Cricetulus griseus: one gene and its partners. The protein of the gene in region 2 purifies or fractionates together with the protein of the main gene of each other region. This does not show direct contact. Links are inferred from orthologs where the notes say so. Each region holds a gene or a part of one and is shown on either strand. Other genes may lie near its edges. The genes, in order: Mettl18, Rpl3 and Ncl.

Region 1 (3,749 bases), on a different chromosome or scaffold from region 2:
GAGTTCATCAAATTCTCAGGGAAACTTGCCGTTTTACATAGAAAATACAAGGCTGCTACTGCACTTGGCTTACTATTTCAATAGGCAGAACTATGCAAATACTATAATTTCAGAAAAAAATAATAGTAAAAAAGAAATTAAACAGGCACAAGCACAAGTTCTGAATTACTCTGTTTATTCCATTAGGCCACCACCCAGTGCATATTAACTGGGGTACTTAAAAGTCACTTCAATTAGGAACCTCTTGAGACCTTCATCAATTATTTCAAGTGTTTTAGTCTCAAACACATCCATTTCTTCTACAAACTTCTGAAAGAGATGAACACCACCACCAACACCAAAATAATGTGCTTTGCTGGCCAGAAGCACCCGGCCATTCCTACTCAACAGTCTGAGGACTGTTTCATGCAAAGTGTTGTAATAATCTGGATTATAAATGGTTTCTGAGGTGAGAATGAGGTCATATTTCACAAACAGTTTTTCATTTAATACAAATTTACAAAACTCAGACCACTCCCCAGAGAAAAACCGACATTTACATTCTTCTTGGGCTACTTTTGACTTCCTTTGTCTTTTCCCATCTGGCTCATTTACATCATTGCCCTCATCCTTCAAAGGGAAATTAGCAACCACATTAGGTAAGGTCACTTCATCGATCACCAAACTGTTATAATCTTGGAAATGAACTTCTCTGGCTCCTCCTTTGGCTGCAGTTATTCCAAGCAACCCTGATCCACAGCCAAGATCCAACACTTTTTGCCCAGCAAATTTCACTTGGGCCTTTGTGAAATAAGTCAAGAGATCAAAGGTACACTCCCAGATTTTTAAGCCTCCTTCGTAAACACCTGGAATCAAGTCAGAATGAGAAGAAAAACTTTTTGAAACTATGTTTTCTCCAGGGAATTGCTCTTTCAACAAGATGGTTTTCACTACTGCTACGTTAACATGCTGGGGACCTGGCAACATTTCCATAACCTTATTTGCTAAGACTTGATTTAAATCTTTGGGCATAGCATGTTCTTTAGCAGCTCTCAAGAAGGGCTGTTTCTCACATGTTTCTGGGTCACCTGAACGGTCAGCTGCACTGAGTGGGCTGTCAGTGTCTTCAGAGGAAGCTGTTTTTCCCATTGAGGAGCCTTCCCTCAAGCCATCCAGAAGCAAGTCTGACAGTTCTGCAGAACTCTTTCTGTCCTGCTTTCCTTTTTGACCTTTTGAGACTGGTGGTTCTTTTGATGAATCCAGGGTCAAAGTCCCATCTCCACAGGGTATTAATTTGTTTTCCAGGTCTTCTTCTATACTAAAGTTAAATTGAAAGGCCATCCTCGTATTATACACACACAATCTTTATCAAAGGATGATGCTTCAACTTCTAGATGGGATTTAATGGTGTAACTGAGTCACGCTATCAATCAGTTCCGTTGGGATGGATGTCCCTTAGCTGCTTATCCTCCCCTGGATATATTTTAGAGAGGCTTCCAAACACTTTCCAGAGGCCTTTGTTCCTCTTCGAATTCAGCCCTGGAAGTGGGGGAGAGAAGGGGGGGATGGTTATTTAAAAAGCTGTGTAGTGTGTGTAGGGGGGAAATTCACAGATACCTTAAGTATGCATAAGGAGAAGATAAAATACAAAAACAAACAAAATAACAGCTATAACAGCAACCACCTCTACCAGAACAAAAGATAAAGCCCAAGATTTTTAGACAGGACAGACTAGCTACTCGGTGTCTTTTAGCTGCCTTGTGCCCCCTAAATTCCCGACAATCTCCATCTCTGTCTGTTAATCTGCCTCTAAAAACAGTTTAAGGTCTTATTTGGGTAAGGAGGACATCCGTTTTCAGACACGTACAGGTGTGATCTGATGTTTGTAAATTCATCCGGAATTCTAAACGGCATGCGACTGGAGGAATGAATACAAGCTAGGATTGTCGAAAGCAAAATCAATTGCATGGAAACCCTTTCGGCAATGTGCCAGACTTTTATAATACCCGTTTTAACTTGCAAATTTCTAAAAGGTAGGATCTTTGTTCAATCGGCAGGAGCTGTGCAGAGGGAAGAACTCGCACTAGTAACATTATCCCTACTTTCTAACCTTCTGCACTGGGGTGCTGAGAGTCATTCCCGGTTACAGGTCCAGCTCACCCTACGCGCAGAGTCTCAAAACCCCTGGCACTGAGGGTATAACAAACCTGAGGACTTCTGGTCTCAGCACTCTAACGACCCAACAGACATCAGGGCGAAAGAAGTAAGCGGCAGAAGTCCGGCGGCGAAACTCACCATCAAGCACGCAGCGCACACCAGCGAGGCGAGTCCTCCGGTGGCTAGAGAAGACTTGGACGCGTGGGGACGAAGGGCCTCCTCTCTATGGTTTGGTGTGGGCGGAGCGCTCTCAAAGCCTGCTGGGACGGCGTGACTACCGTTCCAACTTGTGGCGGGAGCTGTACTCGCTCGCCCGTGGCTGGCGGCGGAAGGATGTCTCAGGACGACGAGGTGGAGGCGAGCCGGGCCATGCTGGATGAACTCAACAGCTGGTCACGGGAGGTGTGCCGCCGGGAGCTGCCTTCGGTGCTGCCCCGGCTCCTCATATCCTTGGAGGACGCTGAGGGGCGGGTCGCGAGCCTCCTGCCTCACTGACGCGGGCGGCCTGGCGCTGCGCTCGAACCCTGTCGGGTGGCGGTGGAAGGGCGAGGACAGCAGTGGGTGCGGGGCCTGGGCCCGCCTGGCATTGTCGGACGATGGCGACTGGAACGTTTGAAGATGACTGGCGTTCTCCCGCCTGTTGGTTCCACTGTCTCTTAGTTCTTCCCTGGGCCGCGCCTGCTGCCGAGTGCGGGACCCAGATGCCAGGCCTGAGCGTCACTGCCAGCGCTGGCGCCCGGTATCTGAAGTGTGAGAATTGAAGGATGCAGTCGTAGTTATTCTGTGGGATCATGTCCTTAAAGGATATTCTGTAAACAAGGAATGCTTTCCCCCTTCGAACCTGTTTTTGTTTTTAGAAGGCCTTGCTTCGGGATTTGGCTTTAATCGTCAGGTGCAGATGATAATTAGCATCAGGCTTTGTGTTTGTAACTGGAAGCCTACGCCCTACGTGTTAAAAGGTGGTTTTAGTATTGTCTTTGATTCCACCTCCTATATGAAGTTCACACACACACACACACACACACACACACACACACACACACACACCCACCCAAAACCAAAGACCATCAGTTTCTCTGTCTTTGATTCCACCTCCTATATGAAGTTAACACACACCCAACCACCCACCCACCCACTCTCCCTTCCTCCCTCCAAAACCAAAAGACCATCACTTTCTCTAGAGTGCAAACCCTGCACGAATGATGTTTCACAATCAGTATAACTTAAGTATTTCTAGCACGTTGAAGTCATTCCTTAGACCTTAGCAAAATCCTATGTGTCCGATTTTTATACTCCTTGTGCAAATAAGGAGTTATTTTGATTTTTAGATAAGGTCTTGCTCTGTAGCCCTGGCTGGCCTAGTGCTAGCTACCTAAAGCAGGCTAGTCTTGAGTTTGCAGTGATCCTGTGTCTGTGGCCCTCGAATTATATGTGTGCCTGCCTGGAACACTGTCTTTTTGGAATTTCCTCCTGGAAACAGCTGTTTTCCTACTCCAAGATATTTATTTACGTGATGTGTGTCTGGTATAATGCTAGCCTGTTTTTCTTTCCTCAATCTTACAGGCATTTTCACGAAATCCAAAGCACCATTTCTACTTTACCTTGCTACCTAC
Region 2 (3,749 bases):
GACATAAGAACTGAAGAGGCAATGAAAAGCCTCATTCCTAGGTCAGGGTGTGTCCTCACCTGAGTGTGAGCAATTATGCGGATGACTTGGCAGTACTTCTTCATGCTGTTGAAGTCCTTCTCCAGCTGTTTCTTGCCCATGTCATCCTGCCATTTCTTACAGTATTTGGTGAAGGCCTTCTTCTTAGATTTGTGCCTTCAGGAGCAGAGCAGAGTTGGGGGAGGGGCCCGGTGCAGGCCTTCATCACCCTTGCACAGGGTGAGAGGAAGGAACACTGGCACCATGTGGGCATGGGGCTCATTGCCGGCTTCTAAGGAGCCTTTTCCACCAGCAAGCGGAGCCTGGATGGAGCTCATCGGGCAGAGCCGAGCGGAGCTGAGTAGAGGTCCACAGGTTAATATAAGCCACATAGAAAACACACAATTCTTGCTCCAGGGCACAGAATCTCCTTTCTCTAACTTGGGGACCTTCTCACAGTAAAGGTTAAAAGGACCTACCTACTACAGTCAAGCCTCCAAACCACACAAGGAAAAGGCAAACGTCTATTTCCTAGCTGTATTTGCCATCTTTCAGTTCAGATTTCAGAAAAAAATCCACCAAGGAACCCAGCACAAGCTAGGCTTGTAGTGGCCCACGCCTTTAATCCCAGCACTCTGGAGACAGAGGTAGGCAGATCTGAGTGAGACAAGCCTGGTCTACAAGAGCTAGTCCCAGGACAGCCACGAAAGCCACCCTTTCTCAACACCCCCAAAGAAACCCTGCATTAAAGGGGGGTTATAAAAAGCCCATAAACATTGTATCGTGTTCACTAAATTCTAGCTCAGGCCAGGATTTTCCTGGGTTCTCACTCTCCTTACCAGTTCTTGTAGAAACGCCTCTTACACTCGTCACTGATGTGCTCAGCAAATACTGTCTTGAAGGTGCGGAGACCTCGTGGGGTTTCAACATATCCCACAATGCCCACAACTACCATGGGTGGTGTTTCCACAATGGTTACAGCCTCCACAACTTCTTTCTTGTTCACCTCTGTGAAGGCAAACAGGCATCAGTGGGTAGATGACTACCAATATTGAAATGCCGACAACAAAAGGCCATCTGCCTCTTCAGATTTGGCCCCCTCTACTCTTCCCATCTCCAGGGCCACAACAGGTGGCTTTAGCTGATGAGCCCTAAGGTTCTACGTGTGCCACAATACCTAGCCCACACAAGGCATGCTTGCTGTTCGTGAAGAAACAGACACGAAGCCAAGTAATAACTATCACCTAAAATCCCAGCATTCAGCAAGTATTGACAAAATGCCACACTTCACCTCATACTGTAAGAAAAGCTATCACTCCCATGGTTTCTAATCTCTCCATGAGTCACTCCCAGACATGAAACTGCTAACTTGGGGAACAATCCTTAAAGCTCAGGAGGGAGGCACTGGCTGCCCTGAGGACTAGGTTTTTATCCTCACCGCATGTGGATTCCAAAGACCAACTACATCCCCGTATGATTTTGCGCAGGCAGGCCTACCTTATCTGTCTACTGAAATACACGACTGAGAACTGTTCTTAGTCTCTTAGTAGGCACTGTTACCTCAGGTCAGGTTGTTTCAAATTTAATTAACCAAAATGGAATTGTCCCACAATGACTTTCCAAATTTACTCCAGGTACCGATCATTCCTGAAGTTATACCCAGTCCCCAGTTCGACAAGGTAAGTTACATACTGGATCCTGGCCTGTCAACTTCCCGGACGATGTGGGTCATGCCAGCCTTGTAGCCTAGAAAGGCTGTGAGATGAACAGGCTTGGAAGGATCGTCCTTGGGGAAGCTCTTCACCTTCCCACGATGCCGGCTGCTGCGCTTCCGAGGCAAGAAGCCCAATGACCCATGCCTCGGGGCAGAGAATTTCCGGTGAGACTAGGAAAGAAAATCACCAACATTACTAAGTATATCTCAACCTCAGCAACCCTTCCTATTACTTAACCAGCCCACGAGAGCATGTCACTTTACATTGTCTCGTGAAATGGCAATCCTGTATAGGGTCTTTGCAAACATTTGCCATGTCTTTCACCATCGACAGTAAACAGCTAAGCTCTGCTAAACACCCTTATGATTCACTGCTAAAATGGGCCACAGAGCTTCGAGAGCCAGCCTTTTACAGCTAAGCCTCTAGAATTCCCAATGCCAAATCAGAACATGACAATCAGCACAGAGTTTCTGTCCGCCCGTCAGAAGGTTCATCATTTGTGGCTTCTGGGAACTCGGGAGGCGCACTTTCCTTTCGCGGAACCACATTCCAAAATGGAAGCTCGTGAGGCTTCCCACAATGACTCCCGTTTCAGCCAGTGCAATCAATGCCTACGGCCGCCTTCCATCATGCTTGCCACATGGTCAATCAAGGTAAAATTCGTGTCCAAACCCCAAAAATAACCAGTTTTATAACACGAGCGGCCGTCAGGCTTGTGCCGAACCCTAGGCCTCTCGTACAGGCCCAGGCCTGTGCCCCGCACACGCTTTCTATAGAGATCTAAGCGCCGTGGCGGCCCGAGCGAAGTTCTCTGTGCTGCTAGAGCAGCTTCCCAGTGTCGATGGGCCGCAGACGTATCCAGGCTAACCCAAAAAGCAAGACCCCAGCCCGGACTGCTACACGTACCATCTTGCCGTCACACGCCGCCGATAGAGGCCGGCCAGGCGGCCGAGCAGCCTATATAAAGCCACCTAGTGACTCCGCCCACTGAGCGTCTGAGCGTGCTGCCGCAGAGGACGTCGGGTCGAAGGACGCGCAGCGAACGTCCCTGTCCCGCCCACTCCAGATTGGCAAATAACGTCCTACGGCAAGTGGTTGGGTTCAAACGTGGCACAAAGCCTCAGAGATGCTGCAGTTTCGAATGTAATGCGTCTACGGCATTCTGCAGCAGCCAAACTTGATGATAATGAAGAAAAATGGCCGCATTGTTTCTGTCCGTAAGCTACGCTGTCACCTCTAGAATTGTGTCACGGCGTGCTAACCCTCTCAGTACTATCCAGTATCGAAACGAACGTCCTTGAAGCAGGCTTAGTTAGATGGAACTGATGTGCTGCTCTAGCGAGCTTTTACGTTGTAAAGACTGTATGAAACTCGTTTGCTCTCTGCCTAGCCAGTGATTTTAATGCAACAACGACTTGCCTTTAATTCGCTATGATTTCGGGCACACCTACGTCAAGTCCGCTCTCTGCCATTCCAGTACCTAGATGTCATGTCCCGTTCACATTGCCTTCTTTTTTTTTTTTTTTCTTTTCTTTTTTTAAGGTGCATTAGTGTTTTGCCTGCATGTCTGACTGTCGGATCCCTGGAACTGGAGTTAGAGACAGTTGTGCGCCGCATGTGGGTACTGGACTTGAACCTCGGGTCCTCTGGAAGAGCAGCCAGTGTCCTTAAAAGCTGAGCCGTCTCTCCAGCCCCCATATTTTGTTCTTAATTTTTAGATTTACTCATGTTATGTGTATGTATCAGTATTTTGCCAGGATGTATGTATGTGCACTATGTGTGTGCCCGGCATCTGCTGAGATCACAAAAGGGTGTCAGATCCCCTGAAACTGAGTTACAGACAATTGTGAGTGTTGTAAACCAAACCCCGTCCCCCCTGGGATAGCAACAAGTTTTCTTAATTACTGAACCATCTCTCCAGATAAAAAATATATATTATATATATATATATATATAATATATGTATTTTTTAGGAACACAAACATAGTTTTATTAAAGGAAAGTAAAAGAATTTCT
Region 3 (3,649 bases), about 61 Mb from region 2:
ATCCCTCAGAAAAAAGGAAAGAAGGCTACAGCAACTCCAGCAAAGAAGGTGGTTGTTTCACAAACAAAAAAAGTTGCAGTTCCCACACCAGCTAAGAAAGCTGCTGTTACTCCAGGTAAAAAGGCAGCAGCCACACCAGCCAAGAAGGCAGTTACACCAGCCAAAGCAGTTGCAACACCTGGAAAGAAGGGAGCCACACAAGCAAAAGCATTGGTAGCAACCCCTGGTAAAAAGGGAGCTGTCACTCCAGCCAAGGGGGCTAAGAATGGTAAGAATGCTAAGAAGGAAGACAGTGATGAAGATGACGATGACGACGATGATGAAGACGACAGTGATGAGGATGAAGAGGATGAGGAAGAGGATGAATTTGAGCCACCAGTAGTGAAAGGAAAACAAGCAAAGGTAGCTGCTGCTGCTCCTGCCTCAGAGGATGAAGACGAGGAAGAGGATGAAGAGGAGGAGGAGGAGGATGAAGAGGAGGAGGATGGTAGGTGGATTTCTGTTTGCAGGATGATTAGGAGATCTTGCCAACAATAATGCATGTAGTTTTCCTGACCACTTCGTGCTTAGATTAGAAAGTCACATTTTGTGCTCATAGTTCTTTCCATAACTTAGCATGCTGTCAGAATTTTATTTCTCTAAGACTTTTTTAGTGTGTATAAGATTCATGTTATCTGGATTGGCAGCAAATGCCCTTGCTTACTAAGCCAGCTCTCTTTCAGACTCTGAAGAAGAAGAAGCTATGGAGATCACACCTGCCAAAGGAAAGAAAGCTCCTGCAAAAGTTGTTCCTGTGAAAGCCAAGAATGTGGCTGAGGAGGATGATGATGATGAAGAGGAGGATGAAGATGAGGAGGAGGATGAAGAAGAGGAAGAAGATGAGGAGGAGGAGGAAGAGGAAGAAGAGGAAGGTAAGCAGATTACATTGAGGTACACTGACCTCAGTAATGTTTAATGGAAGTGCTTACCTACTCATGACACTAAAAATCTTATCCAGAGCCTGTTAAACCAGCACCTGGAAAACGGAAGAAGGAAATGACCAAACAGAAAGAAGTTCCTGAAGCAAAGAAACAGAAAGTGGAAGGTAAGCCTGTAAGATTGGGGACTGTGAGAGGAGATAAAGGTAGCAATAGCACAAGTGATGAATGACAAAGGGACTTAATACTGAAACCTGGTGTTGAGATTCAGTGTGCTGATGTGCTTTATAGAAGTTTTATGCTGATGTTTATGTATGGTGAGGTTTTAAATGAACTAAAGTTAATTTTCTGTGCAGGTTCAGAATCAACTACACCTTTCAATCTGTTCATTGGAAACCTTAACCCAAACAAGTCTGTTGCTGAATTAAAAGTTGCCATCAGTGAACTTTTTGCTAAAAATGATCTTGCTGTTGTGGATGTCAGAACTGGTACAAATAGGTAAGTTTTTCATTGAACATTAAATTGAGTTAGCTGGTGCTTCTAAATTCTCCATGCTCTTAAACACAGAGGTATATAATTACTTTAATGAAGACTAGACATTAAAGAACTAAGTCATCAAGTCATGGAACTTGCAAATTTGAAATTTCAATATTTGACTTTTGTGTTATGTCAAATAACAGCAATAATTGGCATTTTTGGATAGGTGGTGGCAGGGCACGATTCAGTCCCAGCACTTAGGCAGAGGCAGGTGAATCTGCATTGGAGGCAAGACTTGGATCTGAATAGTTATAGTGAATGCTTTTGGCCAAAAGGACTCTTAGTATTTAGCTAGGTTCCTCTTTCAGCTAGTACTATCAGTTAACAGTGTAAATTAAATCTGTGTAGATTTGCTATCCTGTCTAGGTACATAGGCTTGATTCTATGGGAGATGAATATGGCCTAGATCGCTCTCATGCCTATAATCTTGTCCTTTTCATCTACAAGGAAATTTGGTTATGTGGACTTTGAGTCAGCTGAAGACCTAGAAAAGGCCTTGGAGCTCACCGGTTTGAAAGTGTTTGGCAATGAAATTAAACTAGAAAAACCAAAAGGAAGAGATAGTAAAAAAGGTACGTAAAGAGACTGGGTGACTTAGAAGGTAGGCTTTGCCCCTTCTCCCTTAGTAAACCAGTGAGATTGACATGAATGGTCCACAGTGAGAAGTCTGACAAGTTCAATTCTAGGGGTGTACTGCTGCCGTCTACTGTCAAAATTGATGATTTTAAAAATCGAGTGTAATCTTTTAACTTTTCGAGGCCAGAGAGTGAACTGTGGCACTGACAGTCCTGAGTCAGGATGGTCTTATTCAGGAAATTGTGGGATTGGCTGGCAAGATGGATACCTTAATGTTTAAAAGTGCTTAATGCAAAAACTTGATGACATGATTTTGATCTATAGAAGTAAGAGAAACTCCAGATTTGTCCTCTGGGGCCACATGTAAAGATTCATTTATTATGTATACACCATTCTGCCTCCACGCCAGCAAGTGTATCATATCTCATTACAGGGTTGTGAGCCACCATGTGGTTGCTGGGAATTGATCTCAGTATCTCTGGAAGAACAGCAGAGCCATGTCTCCAGCACCCCCCCCCCCAAAGGGTTTTTGTATTTTAGAATTGGGGTTTTGAAGTGTTTTCTGTTTAGTGGGGTCCAAAAAATTGAACCTAGACCCTCTTAACACAGTGCTACATATCCTCAATCTCCTTTTCAACATTTGACACAGGGTAGCTCAGCAATTGCAGTTTATGCAGGTCAAGAACTTACTGGGTATAGACCCAGGTTACTGATTGTACAATAATCCATATTTGTGATGACATCTTAGAGATGGAATCAAAATAAACGTGTATCATATATACCTTAGTATACATAACTGTGGGGACGTTTGGGCTTGCATTTTGACAGGCTGATAACAGGCCACATCACATGTTGCCTTCCATTTTTGTTAATGTCATTGCTCAAATTTTTAGACTGAAATTTTTCATTAGCAGTGAGATTAGTAAACAAGGTCCTCTCAAACTATATCGGGCTCCTAATTATTACTTTTTGTGCCATTACTCTTTTCCTTTATTGTCACAAGTTAAATGGGTGGGGTGGGATTTGTTTTTTTTTTTCCTTTCTCTTATATGTTTATGTGTAGACTACATGTTTGTTTGCCAAGTGTGAGTGCTAAGAATTCACCATCTCCATCCCTTATCCCATCATTCTTAGCGTAGAACCTTTCCCTTCTTTATAGGAGCTGTTTGCATTAATTCATGACTTGTTAAATAATGAACTTTGTTTTGTTTAATGTAGTTCGAGCTGCAAGGACACTTTTAGCAAAAAATCTTTCTTTCAACATCACTGAGGATGAATTAAAAGAAGTGTTTGAAGATGCCTTGGAGATCAGATTGGTTAGCCAGGATGGGAAGAGTAAAGGGTATGTTTGTGTCTTAATCATTTAGCTTTATTAATAAAAAGGTGTTTGAGTGGTGACTGAGTATAATCTTCCCCTCTCATACCCTAAACAGGGTCTAAGGTAGTTCGTGTTGTTTGGTTATACTTATGATTTATTGAAGCTAACATGAGGTTACAGAAAGCAAACATATCCACAAGTCATGGAGCCAGGCAGTGGTGGTACACACATTTAATCTCAGGACTCCAGACTAGCAGGTGGAACTGTTCAAGGTCACACTGAACTACATGAGATTGATCCA

The links.
Region 1: the proteins of Rpl3 (region 2) and Mettl18 purify together in Homo sapiens (affinity purification with mass spectrometry; 3 studies listed by BioGRID and IntAct, with this or other methods). This does not show direct contact. The link is inferred for Cricetulus griseus from reciprocal best matches to the Homo sapiens genes RPL3 and METTL18.
Region 3: the proteins of Rpl3 (region 2) and Ncl purify together in Homo sapiens (affinity purification with mass spectrometry; 4 studies listed by BioGRID, with this or other methods). This does not show direct contact. The link is inferred for Cricetulus griseus from reciprocal best matches to the Homo sapiens genes RPL3 and NCL.

The regions. Positions count from the first base shown.
Region 1 is NC_048598.1:28,341,847-28,345,595, forward strand, and holds Mettl18 (histidine protein methyltransferase 1 homolog), read right to left. Parts: upstream 2,413-3,749; 5' UTR 2,275-2,412; exon of another isoform or gene 2,187-2,274; intron 1,519-2,186; 5' UTR 1,321-1,518; coding exon 205-1,320; 3' UTR 155-204; downstream 1-154. Other genes in the region: C5H1orf112 (uncharacterized protein C1orf112 homolog), read left to right, coding at 2,470-2,580. UniProt on the Homo sapiens protein: Protein-L-histidine N-tele-methyltransferase that specifically monomethylates RPL3, thereby regulating translation elongation.
Region 2 is NC_048595.1:377,236,372-377,240,120, forward strand, and holds the start of Rpl3 (60S ribosomal protein L3), read right to left. Parts: upstream 2,776-3,749; 5' UTR 2,643-2,775; coding exon 2,640-2,642; intron 2,236-2,639; exon of another isoform or gene 2,172-2,235; intron 1,904-2,171; coding exon 1,711-1,903; intron 1,027-1,710; coding exon 858-1,026; intron 251-857; exon of another isoform or gene 196-250; coding exon 60-195; intron 1-59.
Region 3 is NC_048595.1:438,023,663-438,027,311, reverse strand, and holds part of Ncl (nucleolin), read left to right. Parts: coding exon 1-487; intron 488-722; coding exon 723-911; intron 912-997; coding exon 998-1,084; intron 1,085-1,131; exon of another isoform or gene 1,132-1,201; intron 1,202-1,273; coding exon 1,274-1,415; intron 1,416-1,901; coding exon 1,902-2,026; intron 2,027-3,248; coding exon 3,249-3,372; intron 3,373-3,649. UniProt on the Homo sapiens protein: Nucleolin is the major nucleolar protein of growing eukaryotic cells. It is found associated with intranucleolar chromatin and pre-ribosomal particles. It induces chromatin decondensation by binding to histone H1.